5 linked regions of the Coturnix japonica genome follow. The protein of the gene in region 1 binds, or shares a complex with, the protein of each later gene. Links are inferred from orthologs where the notes say so. Each region holds a gene or a part of one and is shown in the gene's direction. Other genes may lie near its edges.

Evidence for each region.
Region 2: PPP4R1 (region 1) and PPP4R3B share a complex: the UniProt entries of both Homo sapiens proteins name them as parts of the PP4 complex. The link is inferred for Coturnix japonica from reciprocal best matches to the Homo sapiens genes PPP4R1 and PPP4R3B.
Region 3: PPP4R1 (region 1) and PPP4R4 share a complex: the UniProt entries of both Homo sapiens proteins name them as parts of the PP4 complex. The link is inferred for Coturnix japonica from reciprocal best matches to the Homo sapiens genes PPP4R1 and PPP4R4.
Region 4: PPP4R1 (region 1) and PPP4R3A share a complex: the UniProt entries of both Homo sapiens proteins name them as parts of the PP4 complex. The link is inferred for Coturnix japonica from reciprocal best matches to the Homo sapiens genes PPP4R1 and PPP4R3A.
Region 5: PPP4R1 (region 1) and PPP4R2 share a complex: the UniProt entries of both Homo sapiens proteins name them as parts of the PP4 complex. The link is inferred for Coturnix japonica from reciprocal best matches to the Homo sapiens genes PPP4R1 and PPP4R2.

The regions. Positions count from the first base shown.
Region 1 is NC_029517.1:88,769,206-88,772,719, forward strand, and holds part of PPP4R1 (serine/threonine-protein phosphatase 4 regulatory subunit 1), read left to right. Parts: intron 1-789; coding exon 790-897; intron 898-1,734; coding exon 1,735-1,800; intron 1,801-2,790; coding exon 2,791-2,949; intron 2,950-3,435; coding exon 3,436-3,514. UniProt on the Homo sapiens protein: Regulatory subunit of serine/threonine-protein phosphatase 4. May play a role in regulation of cell division in renal glomeruli. The PPP4C-PPP4R1 PP4 complex may play a role in dephosphorylation and regulation of HDAC3.
Region 2 is NC_029518.1:7,238,175-7,241,688, forward strand, and holds part of PPP4R3B (serine/threonine-protein phosphatase 4 regulatory subunit 3B), read left to right. Parts: intron 1-1,469; coding exon 1,470-1,568; intron 1,569-3,074; coding exon 3,075-3,514. UniProt on the Homo sapiens protein: Regulatory subunit of serine/threonine-protein phosphatase 4 (PP4). May regulate the activity of PPP4C at centrosomal microtubule organizing centers.
Region 3 is NC_029520.1:41,201,754-41,205,861, forward strand, and holds the start of PPP4R4 (serine/threonine-protein phosphatase 4 regulatory subunit 4), read left to right. Parts: upstream 1-1,303; 5' UTR 1,304-1,545; coding exon 1,546-1,662; intron 1,663-2,206; coding exon 2,207-2,280; intron 2,281-4,108. UniProt on the Homo sapiens protein: Putative regulatory subunit of serine/threonine-protein phosphatase 4.
Region 4 is NC_029520.1:40,224,045-40,227,558, reverse strand, and holds part of PPP4R3A (serine/threonine-protein phosphatase 4 regulatory subunit 3A), read left to right. Parts: intron 1-13; coding exon 14-172; intron 173-366; coding exon 367-536; intron 537-1,442; coding exon 1,443-1,585; intron 1,586-2,806; coding exon 2,807-2,997; intron 2,998-3,479; coding exon 3,480-3,514. UniProt on the Homo sapiens protein: Regulatory subunit of serine/threonine-protein phosphatase 4. May regulate the activity of PPP4C at centrosomal microtubule organizing centers.
Region 5 is NC_029527.1:13,926,305-13,930,574, forward strand, and holds the start of PPP4R2 (serine/threonine-protein phosphatase 4 regulatory subunit 2), read left to right. Parts: upstream 1-1,466; 5' UTR 1,467-1,616; coding exon 1,617-1,650; intron 1,651-1,746; exon of another isoform or gene 1,747-2,001; intron 2,002-2,193; coding exon 2,194-2,275; intron 2,276-4,217; exon of another isoform or gene 4,218-4,241; intron 4,242-4,270. UniProt on the Homo sapiens protein: Regulatory subunit of serine/threonine-protein phosphatase 4 (PP4). May regulate the activity of PPP4C at centrosomal microtubule organizing centers.

The DNA.
Region 1 (3,514 bases):
ATGAAGCATCTACTTCTTGTTTTTTGCAGGCTTGTTTTATGAGGGGTTTAAATTTCATCTGTGCAAAATTTTTATCCACAGCAAATCTTGAATCCTTGAATTCTCTTTGTCATTACTTTCTGTTCTGTTCTCTTTATTGATTTCTTTTTGTTGCGTGTGTGGGGGCTTTTGTTTGTTTACTTTGGATAAAATAATAAGCATATTTGATAATTAAAAATTCTTCTGTGTCAAAACAGTCAGCAAATTGATATTTTAAAGGAAAAATGGCAGAAGCTGTTTTGTCCTTTCCCTTTTAAAATTTAGAATTGTATGTAAGAAGTTAAAACTGTCACTTTCCTTGGTATAATACACATGTGCAGTACTTTTATATTAGGGAAATGCAGATGGACCATGCTCTCAGACATGGTATGACTTTTTCAGTGTCCCTTTGTGGAGCTGGTAGTTGGACTTGATGATACTTACGTTGGACCCTTCCAACTCAGAATATTCTGTGTTTCTATGACCAATATAAAGTATTTTCAATTATTTTTTTCAAATTGTAGAGAAGATAACAGGTAACACTTAACCATGTTGTTAAACAGTGATATTTCTGTTGTCAGAAAATTTCTCAAGTATTGGAACAGTCAGATCTTTTCAGTTCAAGAACTGAATTTTTTCTTTTCAGTAGTTCTTCCTGATTTTACTTTTCTATATCAGAAAATTAAATGTAAAAAAAAGCTCTGCTGAGCTGACATAGAATTGTGTATTGTGCAAGCATTCCTAACTAGTGTCTGTCTATCTTGCCGTTAGATCATGTGCAAAATGGCCTCCATGGTGGGAAAGGACATCACGGAAAGACTTGTTCTTCCTAGGTTTTGTGAGATGTGCTGTGACTGCAGAATGTTTCATGTTCGTAAGGTACGTATTATCAGCACCTCATCTGGATTATCTGTGAAAGTAGTGTCATTGGTTTGGAACTTGCCTTTGTCTAAATGACACCTTCCTGCTAGATTACATCTGTATTCACTTATGTATCTGAATACATAAGTGAAAGCTTATGGGGTTTCTTTGTGGTTCATATTTCCACAGACTTTATATTTGATGCTGACTACTTTTCCCTGAGTATCTACCTTTATTATTAGAAACAAAGAAAGAGCTGTCCTTACGATTGTGCAGGTAGCTGTGAAAATGTGAACCAGCTGGAACTGATAAAGCATCAGCTACCTGAGCTCATACCGCTGTGCATAGACATAAAGATGCTCATTAAGATGAGGCAAGCTAGTATGCCATCGTGAAACTTAGGTGTTGAGGCTGCGTTTTGGTTTCACCTTGCTATTGGATAGCTGCTTCTCCTTTGTAATTGCTTGTATTATTTCATTTGACGGCACTTTGAATGTATTCCTTCCCTTTCACTTATGTTTTGGGGTGGTTCTTTCAGGATTAAATCATTAATCAAGCTTATAAAGAGAAAGTTAAACAAAAACTGAAGAAGAACTTAAAAAGAATATATATATATATATATATATATGTATGTATGTATATGTATATTCTTTTAAAGTTTATATATATATATTTATATATATGTATGTATGTATTTAACACCATAGAAATAGGTAGAATGAAGAAGTGGCAGATTCTGAGTTAGTGCCAAATATTGTTTCTGTAGTTGTAAAAGCTGTTTGGTTATTTCTTTTGACTTTTTATGCTGTACTAAAAAATTGTCACAGTGGTTATTTCTTGCATTTCATTTGTAAGGTGTGTGCAGCCAACTTCGGAGATATCTGCAGTGTGGTTGGGCAGCAGGCCACTGAAGAAATGCTGGTAAGCTGCCTATTAAGGGATTTTTCTTTTTAGTACAAGTCAGTAGTGGAGTTAGATGTGGGGACAGTGAAGGACAGATAAAACAATTTAACTGCTATGTTCTCTTAGTAAGAAGAATCTATAACAGCATGACTTTTCAGTTTGGCTGGTACAAGGTTTTCTTTGAGATTAATAAAATTTTGACGACCGTTAATACAGACTTCTTAGAATCCTTAGGGTTGGAAGGCACCTTTAAAAATCATCTAGTCCAACTTCCCTGCAGTGAACAGGGACATCACAGCTAGATCTGGTTGCCCAGGACCTGTCCCAACCTCACCTTGAAAGTCTTCAGGGACCGGGGCATCAGCTATGTCTGTGGGCAACCTGTTCCAGTGCCTCACTACTCTCACTGTAAAAGACTTTTTCCTTATGCCTTATTTAAATCTACCCTCTTCAAGCTTGAAACCATTTCCCCTTGTTCTGTCACCACAGACCCTGCTAAACAACAGGTTCCCTTCTTTCCTGTAGCTCCCCTTCAAGTACTGAAAGGCTACTATCAGGTCACCTTGCTGCCTTGCTGCCTTAGTCTACAGCTGAGAGGGTTTAAAACGGCCTTCAGGTTGTGAAGGTAGAGAATGTCAGTGAATTTTAAAAGATACTGGGCGAGAAAAGGACAGGATTGTATCTTCTAATGTCTATAATGCAATGAGAAATTACAGATACAGAAGTGTAAGAGGAGAGTAGGCTGCTAGGAGGGGCGAGTTTGATAGGATCAATTGATGTTATTCTTCAGATATGTGAATATTCCCTGTCTGTATCTGCAGGTAACGTGAGTGCCAGTGATTAGAAGGGTGGTGCTACTGAATGTGTGTTTTGTCTTGTGCACGTTAAACTGAGCTATCTGTTGAGTGTGAGGGCAGAGAATTTGATGAAGGAAATGAGCATGGAAAGGAACCCACTTTGAAACAAGTACTGCCTGTTAAGACTTGCAACTTGCTGTGTTCTGAACAGTTGCCGAGGTTTTTCCAGCTCTGCTCTGATAATGTGTGGGGAGTTCGGAAAGCCTGCGCTGAATGCTTCATGGCAGTTTCTTGTGCAACATCACAGGAAGTTCGGCGGACAAAGTTGTCAACCCTTTTTATTAATTTGATTAGTGATCCTTCGCGATGGGTAAGAAATGCTTCTTATTTCTTGAACTGCTCTTCAATACAGTTTAATGGTTTGACTGTGATATCCCACATAGAACTTCTCCCCATAGGTGTGGATAACTTGTTTTATGCATCTTGAGCAAGATTCTTGTTGGAATGCTTGGTTTTACAGTGGGTGTAAACATTTCTTTCTATTTCCACCTCACCATGTAAGAAAAACTGGGCCACCAGGACCACTTTTCTTAGCTGCAGAACTAGCTATGACTTAACAATGCTAAAGATCATCATCAGATCTAAAAAAATTAGTTAGAATTTATATCTATTTCCCAGACCACTACCAACGCTTCCTTTTTTGTCTCCAGGGTCTACGTTTTAAACATTAAGTTTGTTATTGAGCAGGCTACTTCCACGAGCAGACTTATGACCCTTCCTATTTCTAACAATGGAGTTTTGTGTTTCATAAGAATGTAATATTTATATTTAATTTTCCTTGGACCTTTTCTACTAGGTCCGACAAGCTGCTTTTCAGTCCTTGGGGCCTTTCATATCAACTTTTGCTAATCCATCCAGCAGTGGTCAGTATTTTA
Region 2 (3,514 bases), on another chromosome or scaffold:
AAGACCTGTTTCTTTAAGGAAAAATGGACAAATGGGGGGAAAATAATTGAGCTTGTACAATTGCTGTTGTTTAGTGTGGCTTGTGGTCTTCCTGTGGAATACAGAAGCCCATTTAGTAGTAGGTCTTCATCAACAAGGTTGCCATAAGAAAAGAAACAGTATGCATGAGAAGCAAATATGAAAGCATAGTGCTGTGTTTGCCTACTACAAGAACACTGCAGAACCTCTGTAGAGAACTGCTGGTATGCGATGCTGCAGCAGCAGTTATTTGGCATGCTGTGTGGGAGGAGAGTCCCTGTGTGAGCCATGCAGCTGCAACTCAGCTCCCTGCTCCCTGTGCTGTCCCCTAGTCCCCTAGCTGCTGCCGGCTCTGCTTGCAGCATCTGAGCTAACCCAGCTTGGGTCAAGGAGGATTAAAGAACGCTGACTCTGGCAGGAGGTGCAGAAGCAGTGGGATCACCTGGGAAGACAATTGAAAGCCCTTCTAGGTAACGATGTGAGGGAGAGAGCACAGGGACCTCTTTTCCTTGTTGCCCATTGCTTTCCTCTAATACGTTGGGTGTCTGTAAGCCACCCAGTGGTTTGCTTGGGTTTGATTGCTAAGCTCAAACACATCACTAAAGTATTTTGTGACAAAAGTGATATACAAGGGGAAGGATCAAGACTTACAGGCCTCAGCAAGTTGTGTGCTTAATATTGTCCTCTGCAAAAGTAGGAAGGGAATTGCCTTATTGACACATAGCAAGGGTTTACTGGGGTTTAAAACAAGTTGTGGTAGCAGTTCAGGAAGTCAACAGAGGTAACAACATTGAACTGCTTCACAAAGTCAGCAGAGAGCAGATGGTTTGAAGCTCTTTGATGTGCAGATGGGTTTATTGTAGGAGGTGGAACTGCATATTTGGGTGTCCAAGCACAGGCTTTGTTCTTGGCCTGGCAGCTCTACTACAGACCTGGTAACTCACATGTTTTAGTCCTAATGCACTGAAATTCTCAGCCACTCTACTTATGTTCTTTTAGTTTAGAAAAGATGTTGTATGTGTTCAGGTTTGTAATACTCGAGTCTTTATTTCTCATATTGTTACAGCTGTATTAAACTCCTTCTGAGAAGGAAATGATAATCTTTTACTTTTTTCTACAGCTTCAGAAGAATTTAAGGTTTTTCATATTTACATCACAAATTTACTGAACTTTTTGTGTGCATTCATATGCACAGTCAGAACTGCTGGCTTGGGAGGTATATTGCAGAGAAATGCCATTATTAATGTTTTCAATATGGAAAGATGTATATACAGGATGACATTCAGAAAGGAAAAAAGAAGGGTGATATTCTTTTGACAAAGGTAACATTAATTATTACTTATTCCTTAGATGTGATTCAACAGAATATAGTTAAATCCCTGGTGAAGATCTAAACTGCCTGAGAAATGAATATATTTGGTTATAGATATATATATTTTTGTCTTAAACAGGACACCTTGATTGTTTGGTCAGAAGCAGAGAACTATGACTTAGCACTGAGTTTTCAAGAAAAAGCTGGCTGTGATGAAATCTGGGAAAAAATCTGCCAGGTACACTTAAATTTTTCTATTGTTTCTTGCAGATGTTTTAGTGTCCTCTGTGTTTTCATGTATTTGTGTTGTGCTTTTCAAACCTATTTGTAAAATAAGCATGTCTTTGTCATTACTTGCTGTGGCTTTTCTGTATAAAATCTGAAGTTGCCACTATTTAGAACAAAATGTGTTTTTTTTTTACCTTCCTGCTCTTAAAATCAATAAGAGAAACACAGTTTTTGACTTGTTTTTAGGTTAGAAACTAGAAAACCTAAAGTGCCAGATTTTAACTGTCCTGTAGAGAGCTAGGTGTAATCAGTTGTAATAACATGTGGGGCTAGTTCTCCCTCAGAGAGAGGCACTGCTGGCATTGCTCAAAATGTCAGTCATTTTTTCCGTCAAGACCTAAGTCTTACTCACCATGTCTTTAGAGATATTTCAGTCTACATTCTGTTATTAGGTAACAGAGTTTGGATCTCAATGCTTTCAATTCTTCTAATAACAGTTCAGTGGAGTTACACCTATGTGTACTTCACAGAAGAAACCCAGGCTTTTGTGTCAGAATTGATCCTAACTGTCTCAGATTCTGGAAACATGAAGCTGTCACTAATGAAACTTAGAACTCAGATTTCTGAGCAATTTCCTTTGAACAAAATAGCTGATTAAGATGCTTGTTTATACTCCAAAACATGCTGAGTTTGAATCTTCTCTGTCAGTTGTAAAATACTGAAAGGAACTGATGCCAGTAGCTGCAGATATGTCTAATATGTAGTGCAGGTTTTCAGTTAGGCCTGCGTGGGACTGATCTGATAATCAGTCTGAGAGGAAGGTCTTTGTGTGGTCAGATGGTGCCAGCCATTAGCCTTAGTTCTTTCACTGGATTTCAAAACTCTTTGGACTTTGAGACTCCTCTTTGGGAGGTGATCTTTTGTGGGAGAGATCTGATAGGAGTTTATGAATCTTAGGATCAGTAAAGGAAATCAAAAGTATAGGGTGTGTTAGTAGGCTCAGGAGAGGAAATGAGCATACCCAACAGAATGAGAGTACAGAGTGGGAGTCAGTTGCATCCCTCTTTGCCTGTTCAGTTTGGGCATCCATTATACCCTTATGCCTTTGTTTTTGGTCTTTTTGTTATGGTTCACATCATGTTAGTGTAGCTGTGGTCTCTTAATGTGACTTTATACCCTAGTTATCCCTTCGGTTTGAGATACTGAAAGAAGGCTTTATTATGCCTTTTTTTATTCTCTCCATTTTGTTTTTATCTACAGGGTGCTTCATACTTTTTATTGCAAAGATGTGGTTAGGTTTTGGTGGGTTCATTTGTTTGAATTTTGGCAATATCTACTGGAGATAGTGGTAGTGACTTCTGTAGAATTCATAGGCAGCAAACTTAAATATTTCTCTTCATGGCTAGAAATTTTCCATGCAACTGAATATATGAGAGGATTTATGTACATTTTTTCTACTTGATTACTCCTTCGTATGTGTTGGGATGTGATGGTTAACTGTGTGCACTCTTTTTAGGTTCAGGGTAAGGATCCTTCAGTGGAAGTCACGCAGGACCTTATCGAGTCTGAAGAGGAGCACATAGAAGAAATGCCTGAAACTAGTCCTTTGATTGACCTTCCTTCTTGCGAACTCAACAAACTTGAAGAGATTGCTGACCTAGTTACCTCTGTTCTCTCCTCACCCATCCGTAGAGAAAAGCTAGCGCTGGCCTTGGAGAATGAAGGCTATATTAAAAAACTACTGCAGCTTTTCCAAGTCTGCGAGAATTTAGAGAACACAGAAGGCTTGCATCATTTGTATGAAATTATTAGAGGAATTTTGTTCCTCAATAAAGCAACTCTGTTCGAGGTGATGTTTTCTGATGAGTGTATTATGGATGTTGTTGGATGCCTTGAGTATGACCCTTCTTTGGCTCAGCCAAAACGGCACAGGGAGTTCTTGACCAAAACAGCAAA
Region 3 (4,108 bases), on another chromosome or scaffold:
TTTGAAGATGTTGGATGTCTCCAGAGCCAGGACTCAGAGAACATTTTATAAAGCTCTTCCTGCCTGGTCACTTTTCCTATTTACAAAGGAGATTTTAAAACAGTATCTTGTTGTGCCTCATCACCATTCTTGAAACCAGGGACTGTCTGGGCTTTCTGTTACATAACAGAACATTATTTATTTGTACTTTGGATCAGGGTTTGGTCTGGTTTTGTTTTACTGTTCCAGTGATTTAAATGAGCGTGGGGTTTGGCATATAAAGCACACAGAGAAATAACGCACTGTGTTCATTTCTTACTGAATAAAAGCGGAGATACTGATTATAAAATCAAAGTTTATCAAATTCTCAGCAATAGGCTGTATAGCATTACCAATTTATGGAATTACCAGAAACTCCCTAGCTACCGGCACTGTTGTGGATTCCTATCCTGTCCACTCCCAAAAGTGCTGTCATACCGAATTCTTCAGAAAGAGAACGTTCTCCATGTTATTTGTCCATCCTTAAAAGGGCAAAAATTGGCTTTTTCATTTTTTAAGTACTGTCCTCGTACATCCAGTGTACTCTGTATAAATTCTACAGACTCAGAAAGAGTCCCTGTGCCAGAGGGGAGGTAAAGGGCAGTAAGGAGGAAGAACACGTGTGAGTGATGCACTCGCTAGAGGATCGCTAATCACTGCCAAGTTTGTCGGTTATCTTACTGAAATTGAGTTTTTAAAGCGTTAATCGGGAGAGGAACCTGCTTTGGACTTTTCACTAAACTCACAACGTTTCCAGCTTCGTTCTAGGTTTGCTTCGAAATAGTTTGGAGAGTTGGGGGGAGGGTACGGCTCAGGTGCTACCAATCACCGGGCCGGGAGGGAAGGAGATGCTTCGGACGGCACCGCAGGGTCGGAAACACCCAGAGAGACTGTAGGGACCATGGAGAGGTCTGCGTGGTCACAGCCGCGCCGGGGAACGCGGGCAGAGGAGCCGCGAGGGGGCGGATCGGATCTCGCCGCTCTCGGAGCCGTTCGGTCCCGCGTTGCCCCGGCGACCGGCTCGTGGTGCTGGGGCGGCCCGGTTGCGGAGGCTGCCGGTGTGCGGGGCTGCCCCGGCTCTGCCCGCAGCTCTCGCCCCCGCTCTGCCCGCGGCGCCGTGCGCTACGTCCGCCTCGGGGGCTGCGCTGCCGGAGCGGGACGGAGGCGGGGAGCATCACTGCGCCACGGCCACCGACCGTCCCTCCCCCTGGGGCGGGGGGGCGGCACCCGGGCTGCGCGGCGAGGCTGCTCCGCTCCGTGCCCCGGCGGCGAGCGGTGGTACCCGCAGCCCGGCACTAAGCGGCGAGGAGGGGAAAGTTGGCTCCTAATACCCCCACCGGAGGGTTACCGGGAGGGGCACATCCCGCTCCCTGCTCGGTCGGGAAAGCGGCCGTACAAAGTTTGGCGGCCGTGCCGCAGTGTGCCGGGCTCCCGGTGGCGGTAGGCACGGAGGGGGCGTTGCGCGGTGCCGGCAGCGCTATGTGAGCCGCGGGCGGAGAGGCGGCTGCCGGGGGCTGCGGCGCGTCCATGCGCCCCATACCCTGCTCCAGAGACATGGATTTTGGGCAGAGCAATCTGTTCGGGTACATAGAAGACCTGCAGGAACTAACTATTATAGAGCGGCCGGTGCGCAGGAGCCTGAAGGTATGTGCTCGGAAATAGAACGATGCTTTGCAATCCGTGTGTGATTGTTGCTGGATGCGTTTGTAGGCAGCTGTCCGGATAGGTGGTCTGTTTTACTGCGCCGGGGTATCAGAGATTGTTTTCAGTCATTTTGGAGTAAAGCATATTGAACTCTAGGTTTCTAATATTCTCATCATGAGACTGCTATGCTGGGGGGAAAATAAATAAATAAATAAATAAAAAGAAAGAAAACCAACAAAAAAGAAACTAAAACAAAAAACAGACTTACTTTGGCTTTTAGGTTAATGTACATGTGACTGATTTTATACTTTCTTTCAAGTGTTGAATAGCGATAGTGTCTGACATGGGGCTGTGCTTCAGTTTCAGCCCCTTTCCCCCAGTGAGGGATCAGTGGGACTGAATTTGAGATGTTGGCTCAGGGATAGTGTTGAGATCGCTCCTGGAGCATCCCTGGGTGTGGGGAAGAGGGGATTGGTAAAAGAGGATTAAAATAAGGCAGTGGTAAGGCATTGTTAACTCATAATCTCTATTTCACACTCGATAGACACCAGAAGAAATAGAACGATTGACAGTTGATGAAGAACTCAATGACATTGAAAGGGCTCTTTACCTGCTCAGGTATTTCCTCCAGCATTACTGTGAAACATTACTTACCTTTGTGTTTACATATGGCTTTTTTAGTGCTGTTATTCTTCATTCTCTTCATTTTCTGTCTTGTAGTAGTTGTTGTCTCTTACTTTCTGCTATGCTGGATGTCTAAGTAAGGTAAAGACAGATACCATAGTTGTGCTTTTTAAAGTTGCAGAGCCTATGATGCCTGTGTAGGTGTACCAACATTTTTGTTTCTAATATGGCTTTCACCAACATTGAGTTGTACTTCATCTTCTTTACCCCAGCAGATGGTTTTGTAAAAACCTCGAGTGTTAACATTAGTAATGCCCTTTATTCAATGCCTTCATATTCACTGTGAAGTATGAGTGGTTACACATGCTGATAACAGAGCTACTTCAATACATCTCAGCTTTCAGAAGAGAAGACTTGAGAGATTAGTTTTGTAGTCCTTATGCAGTACTGTGGAAGATGCTCTGTTAATGCTTCCCTGTGACTTTTCATTGTACCACCCTCTTCATGTTCTTTAAAGAATTTTGCTTGCAGTTACTGGACAACTTAAATGCTGATATTCTAAAAAACAGATCACTTTCAGCAATTGTGTGTCATCTCTGAGATTACAAATGCTCTGAGGGATTTTGATTTGAGTATTTGTTTTTGCACAATACATAGTAATTGGAGAACCAGCTGCAGCTCCCTCTCAGTTTGCTTATTTTGCTGTTCTAAGTGTTCTTCTGGTCTATTACTGCCCTCAGTGTTTAGAGTACATAATCCCGATGCCTTAGTTTTCCCTTTCTGGGATGTGTGGCATTATTTTTAGGTAAGGACTTTTGCCTACTGGTATTACTCTTAGTAGTGAGTTTCTTTTGATGCTAAATTTTATTAAATACTGATTTAGAATCTTTTGTGTTGGAAATAGTTCCTGTAGTCAAAATAATCTGAAAGCAATCTGTTGACTCTAGGGAAATTCAGAGAAGGCATTTTGTATGTGGTGCATATCATTCGAGAAAATCACATCAATTTCATTTTGTACCTCACAGTAATCAGCTGGGCTGGCTTCCACCCACTCCCCTTATCAGCTCCCTTTCCTGTAGCCACAAATTTCTTTCTTTTTCTTTTTTTTTTTTTCTTTCTTTTCTTTTTTTCTCTTTTCTCAATAAAAATGATGTTTCAAGCAGTATGTCATTACTGGATCATTGCCTTGTTAAAGGGTGAAAGGTTCTACGTCATATCTTTCATGTTACTAATTACTTTTGAACTTGGCCTTGAATTTCTCTTGGTATCTTCATCTGCTTTCTCTCTACATGAACAGCTGTTTTGGAGAAATAATATTCATTTCCTTGTGCTGAAATGTTCATTATTTTTGCCTCTTCATAAACCTTTGTACTGAAAGGTGGCTTCATCTCTGCTTGCTAAGCTTTCTGTAAAGCAATCACTTGCTGTGATTGTTCAGGTATGTTAATACACTAATCCAGGGGAAGCTTTTGCTCGATGCTGCTCTCCTTGCACCAAGTAGGATATCAGCAGAGTTGAAAAGCTGCTTGCAACACAAATGGTATCCTTTATGTAATGCACAGAGGTATATATTTTTGGCTTGTCTGCTGTTTTTCATCTATTATAACACAATATCCCTGACTGTTCCTGTTGGACAGCAATGTAAACTTAGACTTTTTGTGCCTCATTTTCTCATGCAGATGTATTATTTGACTTCCTTAAGGTTATCCATTTAATAATAATAATAATAATAATAATAATAATAATAATAATAATAATAATAATAATAATAATGGAATAACAGTAATTAAAAGTATATATCTTACCTTCAGTATCTACAAAT
Region 4 (3,514 bases), on another chromosome or scaffold:
GGTTTTGTTATAGATGATTTTCAGACAGCCCAACTCTTGGCATTAATACTGGAATTGCTAACTTTCTGTGTAGAACATCATACTTACCACATAAAGAACTACATCATCAACAAAGATATCCTGCGAAGGGTGCTTGTTCTCATGGCCTCAAAGCATGCTTTCTTGGCACTGTGTAAGTTCAAACGCTGAAGAATAAACCAGTATTTTGTGAGTGTGAATTGCTGTGAATCTTCATTCTTCTGGAAGAAAACTTCTCACAGATGAGACAGTTTGTTACTGAACATAGAAATTCTGCTGTTTTCCTCCGTGTTTCTTAAACAGATTTACAGATATCAGAATTAGTAAATAATAACGTTTCTGTTTCAGGTGCCCTTCGTTTCAAGAGAAAAATAATTGGACTAAAGGATGAATTCTACAACCGCTACATAATGAAAAGTTTTTTGTTTGAACCTGTGGTCAAAGCATTTCTGAATAATGGTTCCCGTTATAATTTGATGAACTCTGCCATAATAGAGATGTTTGAGTTTATCAGAGTGGTGAGTGATGTTATATGCTGAAGTTAATAACTACTTGCTTCACCTTCTAGCTCAAGTAGACTTGTTATTTGTGCCATATGTTTGTGACATTATGTTATCATGGTATGGCGTGATATGCCCACATGACACTGTTTAAATGAACTGTCTTTTTTGTTCTCAGTGTTAACATATTTATTCTTTCTTATGTTTGAGTGGTATGATGGTGTGAAAATTAAATTCACTCAGAACTCAATGTATTTACAGAGTCATAGAATGGCTGAGTTTGGAAGGGACATTGGTTTAGTTCCAGCCTCTCTGTCATAGGCAGGATTGCCACCCACAAGATCAGGGTCCAATCCAACCAGGTCTTAAATGCCTTCAGGGATGGGGCACCCACAGCTTCTCAGGGCAGCCTGTGCCAGCGCCTCACCACCCTCTTCAGTAAAGAGAGCACAGCATTCAGTTGGAATAGCAAACAAAGTTAGGTTTTTTGTAGAGGAGCTTGTCTGGCACTGTGTGGCCACAAAAAAAAAAAAAAAAAGCTTATATTGGTTTTGGTTTTTTTTTGTTTAGTAATTACAACAGATAATAGTTAATCTATCAGTATACAAATATTTACAATTTGCAGCAGGACATACTTGTCAGAGTTGGTTTTAGAATTGTTTTCTACTGGAATTTTAGATTCTCATATAACACTCATATAATTTGAAGCATATATTCTTAGAAGATTACTACTCTTATGTCTGCTTCTCTAATCATATATTTGAAGCTCTAAACTATATGTGGTGGTGTTTTTTGTCATAAGCTAATAATTATGTTTTCTATTGAATATTTAAAAAATAGTGTCTCCATTCCTTTTTATGTTGCATTTAGAAATAGATTCACTTGAAGCAAAATAAGTCACTTTGTGTTTGTTCCATTCTGTAGGAAGATATAAAATCTTTAACGGCTCATGTGATTGAAAATTATTGGAAAGCACTGGAAGACGTAGATTATGTGCAGACATTCAAAGGACTGAAACTACGATTTGAGCAACAAAGGGAAAGACAAGATAATCCAAAACTTGATAGGTAACGGGCTCTAAATTATTTTACTATGATTTCTGTTTTGGGAATAATGATGGGTTTTTCTGCAATAACAGGAAGAGTAAATAATTTCAACTTGATTGTATCTCATCTGCTGTTGAATTTAATTGATTGATAGTGTGATTTCCAGATGTATTACTTCAAACTCTTGATCAACTTTAAGGTAACATATTTGCTGAAGGCAGACACATTCCCTCCCTTCCCTTCCTGTAAAGAAGTAATGCTGTTCATCCATTTCAGCTTCAAGAAATACATATTCATACCATAGCCAGACTCAGCTTTTATTTTATTCTTACACCTTGTGTGTGGCTTTGCAAGTCTTGTCACAGACCATGTCCTAAGTGAAATAAACAGATATAAAAATGCAATAATCATAATAATTTGCCTACACATTTTAACAAAGAATAGTTCATCAGTCAGTAAGGAGGCCAACATTGGCATTAACATATTTGGAAACTGCCACTTAAGTAATAATAGAAGTAATAGTTTTCCAGTAGGAGCAAAACTTTAATATAAATGCAGTTTAAAATGCTGTATATCACATAGATCCAGGTTATAATGTTGGCAAGTTAAAATAGTTTTAGCATCCTGCTGCCTCTCCTAGGGAAAAAGGTGGTGGAGCAAAGATAGACCCACACTTAATAAATAATCAAAGGGAGTGGTAAAAGTAGCATGTGGTATCTGAGGCCCTTAAAAATAGAAAATACTGATACCAAACAAAAATGGCAGATGCAGCAGGAAGAGACGACTGTCTTTTTAATATACCTACTTTTTAAAAAATGTATTTGACCTTAAATGCTGATGGGTTATATTAAGTGCAATAAGAAGAAATGTCAGTGGTTTCTAAACTTCTTTTTACAACCTTTTATTTACCACTGCAAATGACTCCAAGTCTGAATGCAGCACAGACATTGATTTGAAATAACATCTAATTGTGCTGTTAGTAAACTACAGAATTTTGTACAGTTGGTCTGAATATTCTTACTAGAACTGTAAGTCATGTAATGCTACAGAAGAAATGTTTTTAATGTTATTTGCATTGAAAATACAAATTGAAGTTGCACATTTGCAAATGATTTGCTGTACTAAAGATACTGACTACAGTATTTGCATCCATAAAATGTCCATGTAAATGTCAAGTAGGTGTTTTGTTATTGATGCGAGCTGATTGTTGAATCATAGTTTTTAAAACTTACTGTTCTTCAGTATGCGCTCCATTTTGAGAAACCACAGATACAGGAGGGATGCAAGAACCCTGGAGGATGAGGAGGAAATGTGGTTTAATACTGATGAAGATGATATGGAAGATGGAGAGGCAGTGGTACCCCCTTCTGACAAAACTAAAAATGATGAAGATATTATGGACCCTATAAGTAAATTCATGGAGAGGAAAAAATGTAAGTGATGAAAAGAATGACGTATGGCCTGTACAGAAAATGTAATTTGTATTCTGTGGTCATACTGAAGTGAAGCTTTTTATTCCTTTTTTTATTGAAGGTCACAGATTTAGGAATTGACACTGAGCTGTTGAACAACCACTTCAAATAAGTTTTATTATCTCTAAAAACCAAGTGATGCAAAAGCGTGTTTACTTCTTAAAGCATCTAAGTGATGATACTGGCTGATAGTCAGGCTTTTCCAAGGTCTATTCAGATTTATTCAGAACTTTCCACGTTCCTTGTGATGTTTTTGGTGGAATAAATAAGTGTTTGTTCCTGGCCAGTGACAACAGCAGCCAGGTGTAGTATAGGAGCAGGAAGAAAATCTATTATCGCTCTTATCAAGTTGTGCATGAAGTATTTTCCCACACAGAAAAATGATATGTCATTATTTGTTCAATAATGTTGCATTGGTTTTTGTTTTCGTGTTTCCTGTGCAGTAAAAGAGAGTGAAGAAAAGGAAGTTCTTCTGAAA
Region 5 (4,270 bases), on another chromosome or scaffold:
ACAGGAAGGAAGGCCGTTTTTGGTTGCTGCAAAGTTTCTCTCTTGCAGATCCGTCAGAACTGACAATATTAGAGTTTCTGCCTGTTCTCTGTCTGCATAGCATGATGTGGTTGTATTGCTGTCCCTTGGTTTCTAGTTGGTTTTGATTTCTGATGATATTTCAGGAAGAGGAGAATGTGGAAGTACAGTATGCTATAGAACTTGTACGTGTCATCTGTATCTTCCTCCAGTACTGATGAATATGAACACAAGTCTTATCACATCAGTGCTTGACCTGAACTCGAGTGTAAGACCATGTGAAAAGAGAGAGTAGTTCAGTTGCATCAGGCAGAATTGGATTCATCCTGTTAAGGTATTGGACTTTGTCCTGCTCTCTCTCAAAAAGTGCTTTGCAGAAGTTGAAAAGAAATGCAAAATGCAAATCTGAAATAGGCTTCATGTGAATGTAATGCAAAGGGAGAAATATCTGCATTGGAAATCAATTTCTCCTGCTTTTGTTATGTGTTTAAAAATGCCCTTTTTTCTTTCCTAACGTGATGAGTCTTTTCATTATTGTTCCACAGTAAATACTCCCTAAGTAGCACTGGGGATTTGAATGACATGATTTGTGTGCTCCTATTGCAAGGTGTGCCAAATACCTCCCAAAGAGTGCAATTACCATTTCTGTGTAGTTAATAAAGACACTCAGGTGTGATTGCCCAACTCCTTTGCTTGAGGTCACACAGCATATCAGTGATGAAACTCCACACAAGCTTTCTGTATTCTAGGATTACATTTAATGTTTATCCCTTGGACATGGAGGAGTTGCAGTATTTTTTTCAGGTAGATGAGGGGATGTGTGTTTGCAGCATGCAGGGCTGCCCTCCTCTGCTTCAGGGCTACCAGGAAAGGTGGGTTCTCCACTCTTCAGCTGTGCTCAAGGTTGCAAAGGCAGGTATTGGTTGTGTTGCTTTAAGTGCACTTTGGTACCTTTGTAAAAATAACGAAGTTAACCAGAGGGAAGTGAAGGTGTGCTGCCACTGCTGCTTCTTCCATTGCATCTCTGAGATGAGCAAAGTGACCAGCAGAAAGCTGGCAGCTGGATTCACTAATGGTTTTAATGCCATCTCGCTCAGACAAGCTGTGATGCTGCCTGTGGACAGGCAACACGGGACACGTACAGGTCGAAGTGCCAGAACCTCCTGCTGGAAATCCCATTCACCGTTAATTAAACGGTTGGTCCGCGGCACCGAACCGGCAGTTGTGTCACCCGGCGCTCCATCGCAGCACTTCATACATCACACCGTTACTCGCTGCTCACACAGAGGCCCCGAATTTGCCTCATTTTTCCCTCCCGTTCGCTCCCGATCCCCAATTCTACACGCCCGCCCTGAGGTGACGCTCCCGCCGCCCGTTCCCGCCCGTTCCCGCCTCCCTCAGGGCTCGCGCGGCCCCGCCCCGCGGCGGGCAGGAGGGCGGGCTGTCGGGGCCGCGCACGGGGACGGCCCGGGCGCCATGTTGGAAGGTTGCTGAGCCCGGTTTGTGTCCGTGCCGAGCGGCGCTGGGAGCCAGTTTGCTGTGCGGGGTGGGGGGGGACGGCGGAGGGGAGCAGCGCGGAGGGATCGGCGGTGCGGATCATGGACGTCGAGAGGCTGCAGGAGGCGCTGAAAGGTGCTGCCGGGCGAGCGGCGGGGGGTGGGGGAGCGGTGTCCCCGCGCTGAGGGGAGCAGCGGGGCCCAGCGGGGACTTGTAGGGGCCGGGGGTGAGCGGAACTGCTCCGGGGTGGGAGCCGCGGGGTCCGTGAGGTGGGAGCGGCCGGGGATTCGCCGTGGGGACGGGGAGGGCCGGGCCTGGGCCCACAGCCCCCGGGCTGCCCTCGCCCTGTGCTCCTCCCGGCGCTCCCTCGCCCCGCTCCGCCTCAGCTCGCCCCGTCTCGGCCTTTGCGGCCCGTCCCGTCCCCGAGCAGGGAACCAGCTCCAGCCGCCGTTGCCCTGAAGTCGCGCACCAACTTTTGCCGCCCAGGTGCGCGATTCTCCACCATGAAATAGATCGGCGTTTTCCAGGGCTGGAAAGTTGGAGGAGCTGCTGGGATCAGCCGAGGCGCTGTTGAAGCAGGGGGTGTTTCTGAGGGAGTCACGCTGTAGTTGAAGTGGTGGTTGCGATGTTTAATATAATCTTCTTGTCTTTCTGTTCCCATTCCTCTCGTGCCACCAGATTTTGAGAAGAGAGGGAAGAAGGAGGTGTGCCCCATCCTGGACCAGTTCCTCTGCCATGTCGCCAAGACGGGAGAGACCATGTAAGTGCTGTGTGTGCTGCGGGAACGGGCTGCTCCGGAGCTGGGCTGTGCTGGGCTGAGCTGTGCTGTGCTAACTGAGCTGTGCTGGTTTAAGTGAGCTGTGCTAACTGAGCTCCCCTGGCCGTGTGCTGAACCTGGCTGGATTAGTTCTGTTTGCTGGCAGCTTTATCTAACGAGGAGCCTCTTCTCGCACAGGTCAGAGGTGTGTTCCAGGTGTTACCCTGCCCAGCACATGAAACCTGTTGCTCTATCAAAAGTTGATGCGACGTTTATTTTTGTTTTTTAATGGGAGTTTTGCTCAGTGTTATTGTGCCGTGCCCCTGTAACAGCTCAGCTCGTCCACGTCCCGCCCCCAGCCGTTCCATGCCCATACAGCCCGTGTCCCCGCACTCCCTCACACCCAGGCCCCATTCCGCCGCTCCGGGTCACCCCGCTGCGGGCTGGGCCGTGCTGCGTGCGGTAACTTCCGTGTTGCTCAGTGTTTGGCAGGAAGTGGGACGGCTCGTCTGCTCGCGCTGCCGCTGGTGGCTCACTTTGTGGCAGCCGGGCTCCTTGTTTGCGAGGCCTAGTGCCGGCCTTTGTTCTGCCTCCCGGCTTCCCCGACCCGCGGGACATTGTTCTTTCTTTTCCCTTCTTTTTTCCCCCCCCCGTCTTCCCAGTATTATTGGAGTCGGTGGTTTTGAAGGAAAAACAAGTTGTGAAATGTACTTCGGTCTTTGAATAAGAGGCTGTGGCTCAGCAGACATACACAGTTGTGATACTCGATGCTTTGGGACAGCGCTTCACTCAGTGTGGGCTCAGGGTTGTGCTTAGTTATTAACAGTGATTGCCTTCACCCTGATGGCAGCCACCAGGAGCCTCATGCAGGCCCTGCCCTTTTGTGTGTTCGTTTTTTTTTTTACTCTTTCTCTGATCTGTAGCATTGTTTTCAATATTTTCAAACCTTCCAGTTACATCAATTTTATTATTATTTTTTTAAGTGTCAGATCTGAGCATCAGAAGCATTCACTACAATCTGGAGGATGTCATGGGAATGCTGTTCTGTACCACTTGGTTTGCTTCCCATTGTCTGTTGAATTCTATTTCATCTAATTTGTTTCTGTTTTCACTGGTATGTTACACATCAAAATATCAGGAGGGAATCAGTGGAAATTAAAATTTCATTATGGTCCATGTAAAGAGCATTAGTGTGCTTATAAGAATCATATGTAATACATTCAGGAGGAATGTATCAATTTGAAATGAGCTGAGTATCCTTTAATTCATTTTATACATTTAATACCTAGTTTATGCATTTATTATCTATTCAGTAGAAATCTCAAACAGTAAGAAATGCATTGTTTGATGTTAAGATGATGAATGTCACAAACATAATTCTGTAGTAACATTTATTAGGGTTGTTTTGCAGCTCAGAGCTCAGTTTAAAACAAACGAACAAACACGATTAAGTTTGTAATTGCACAATCTTGCGGCTTACTGGAGCACAATGGGTTTCGCTCAGTCACAGCCTGTTCCTAGAGCAGCACAAAGTACCTGTGTGTGTGTGAGGACCAAGGCAAACAGGGACAAGTGAAACGTGACATGGTTTTCTTTGAGTTGTTTCTAGTAGTGTTATATGATGTGGGGGGAGGTTCTCCCTGCTTTCTATCTTGCTCTGACAGCTGTTGCTTCTGTTCTGTCTTGGGTTCAGATGCCATGTTCTCGCCCTTCACACTGCACACCTCTTCCAGCCATCATCGTAGCAGTTCTTGTGAAAAAACAAATAAAAAATTACTTGAAAGTGATGTTAATAAAGTAAATTATAGTGCTTTTTTTTTCAAGGTTAATATAGAAGCATGATCATGGCGTGCATCACTTGCCTTACAGGTTGAAAACATGGTCTCCTGTAAGCCATTGAGTACCTCCCTGCCCTCGTTGGTTTGAGTGTTCTTATTCATCCCAGTGAACTAGGAGCAGGTACACACAGGTATAGGTTAAGCTGTAATTTCACCCTTG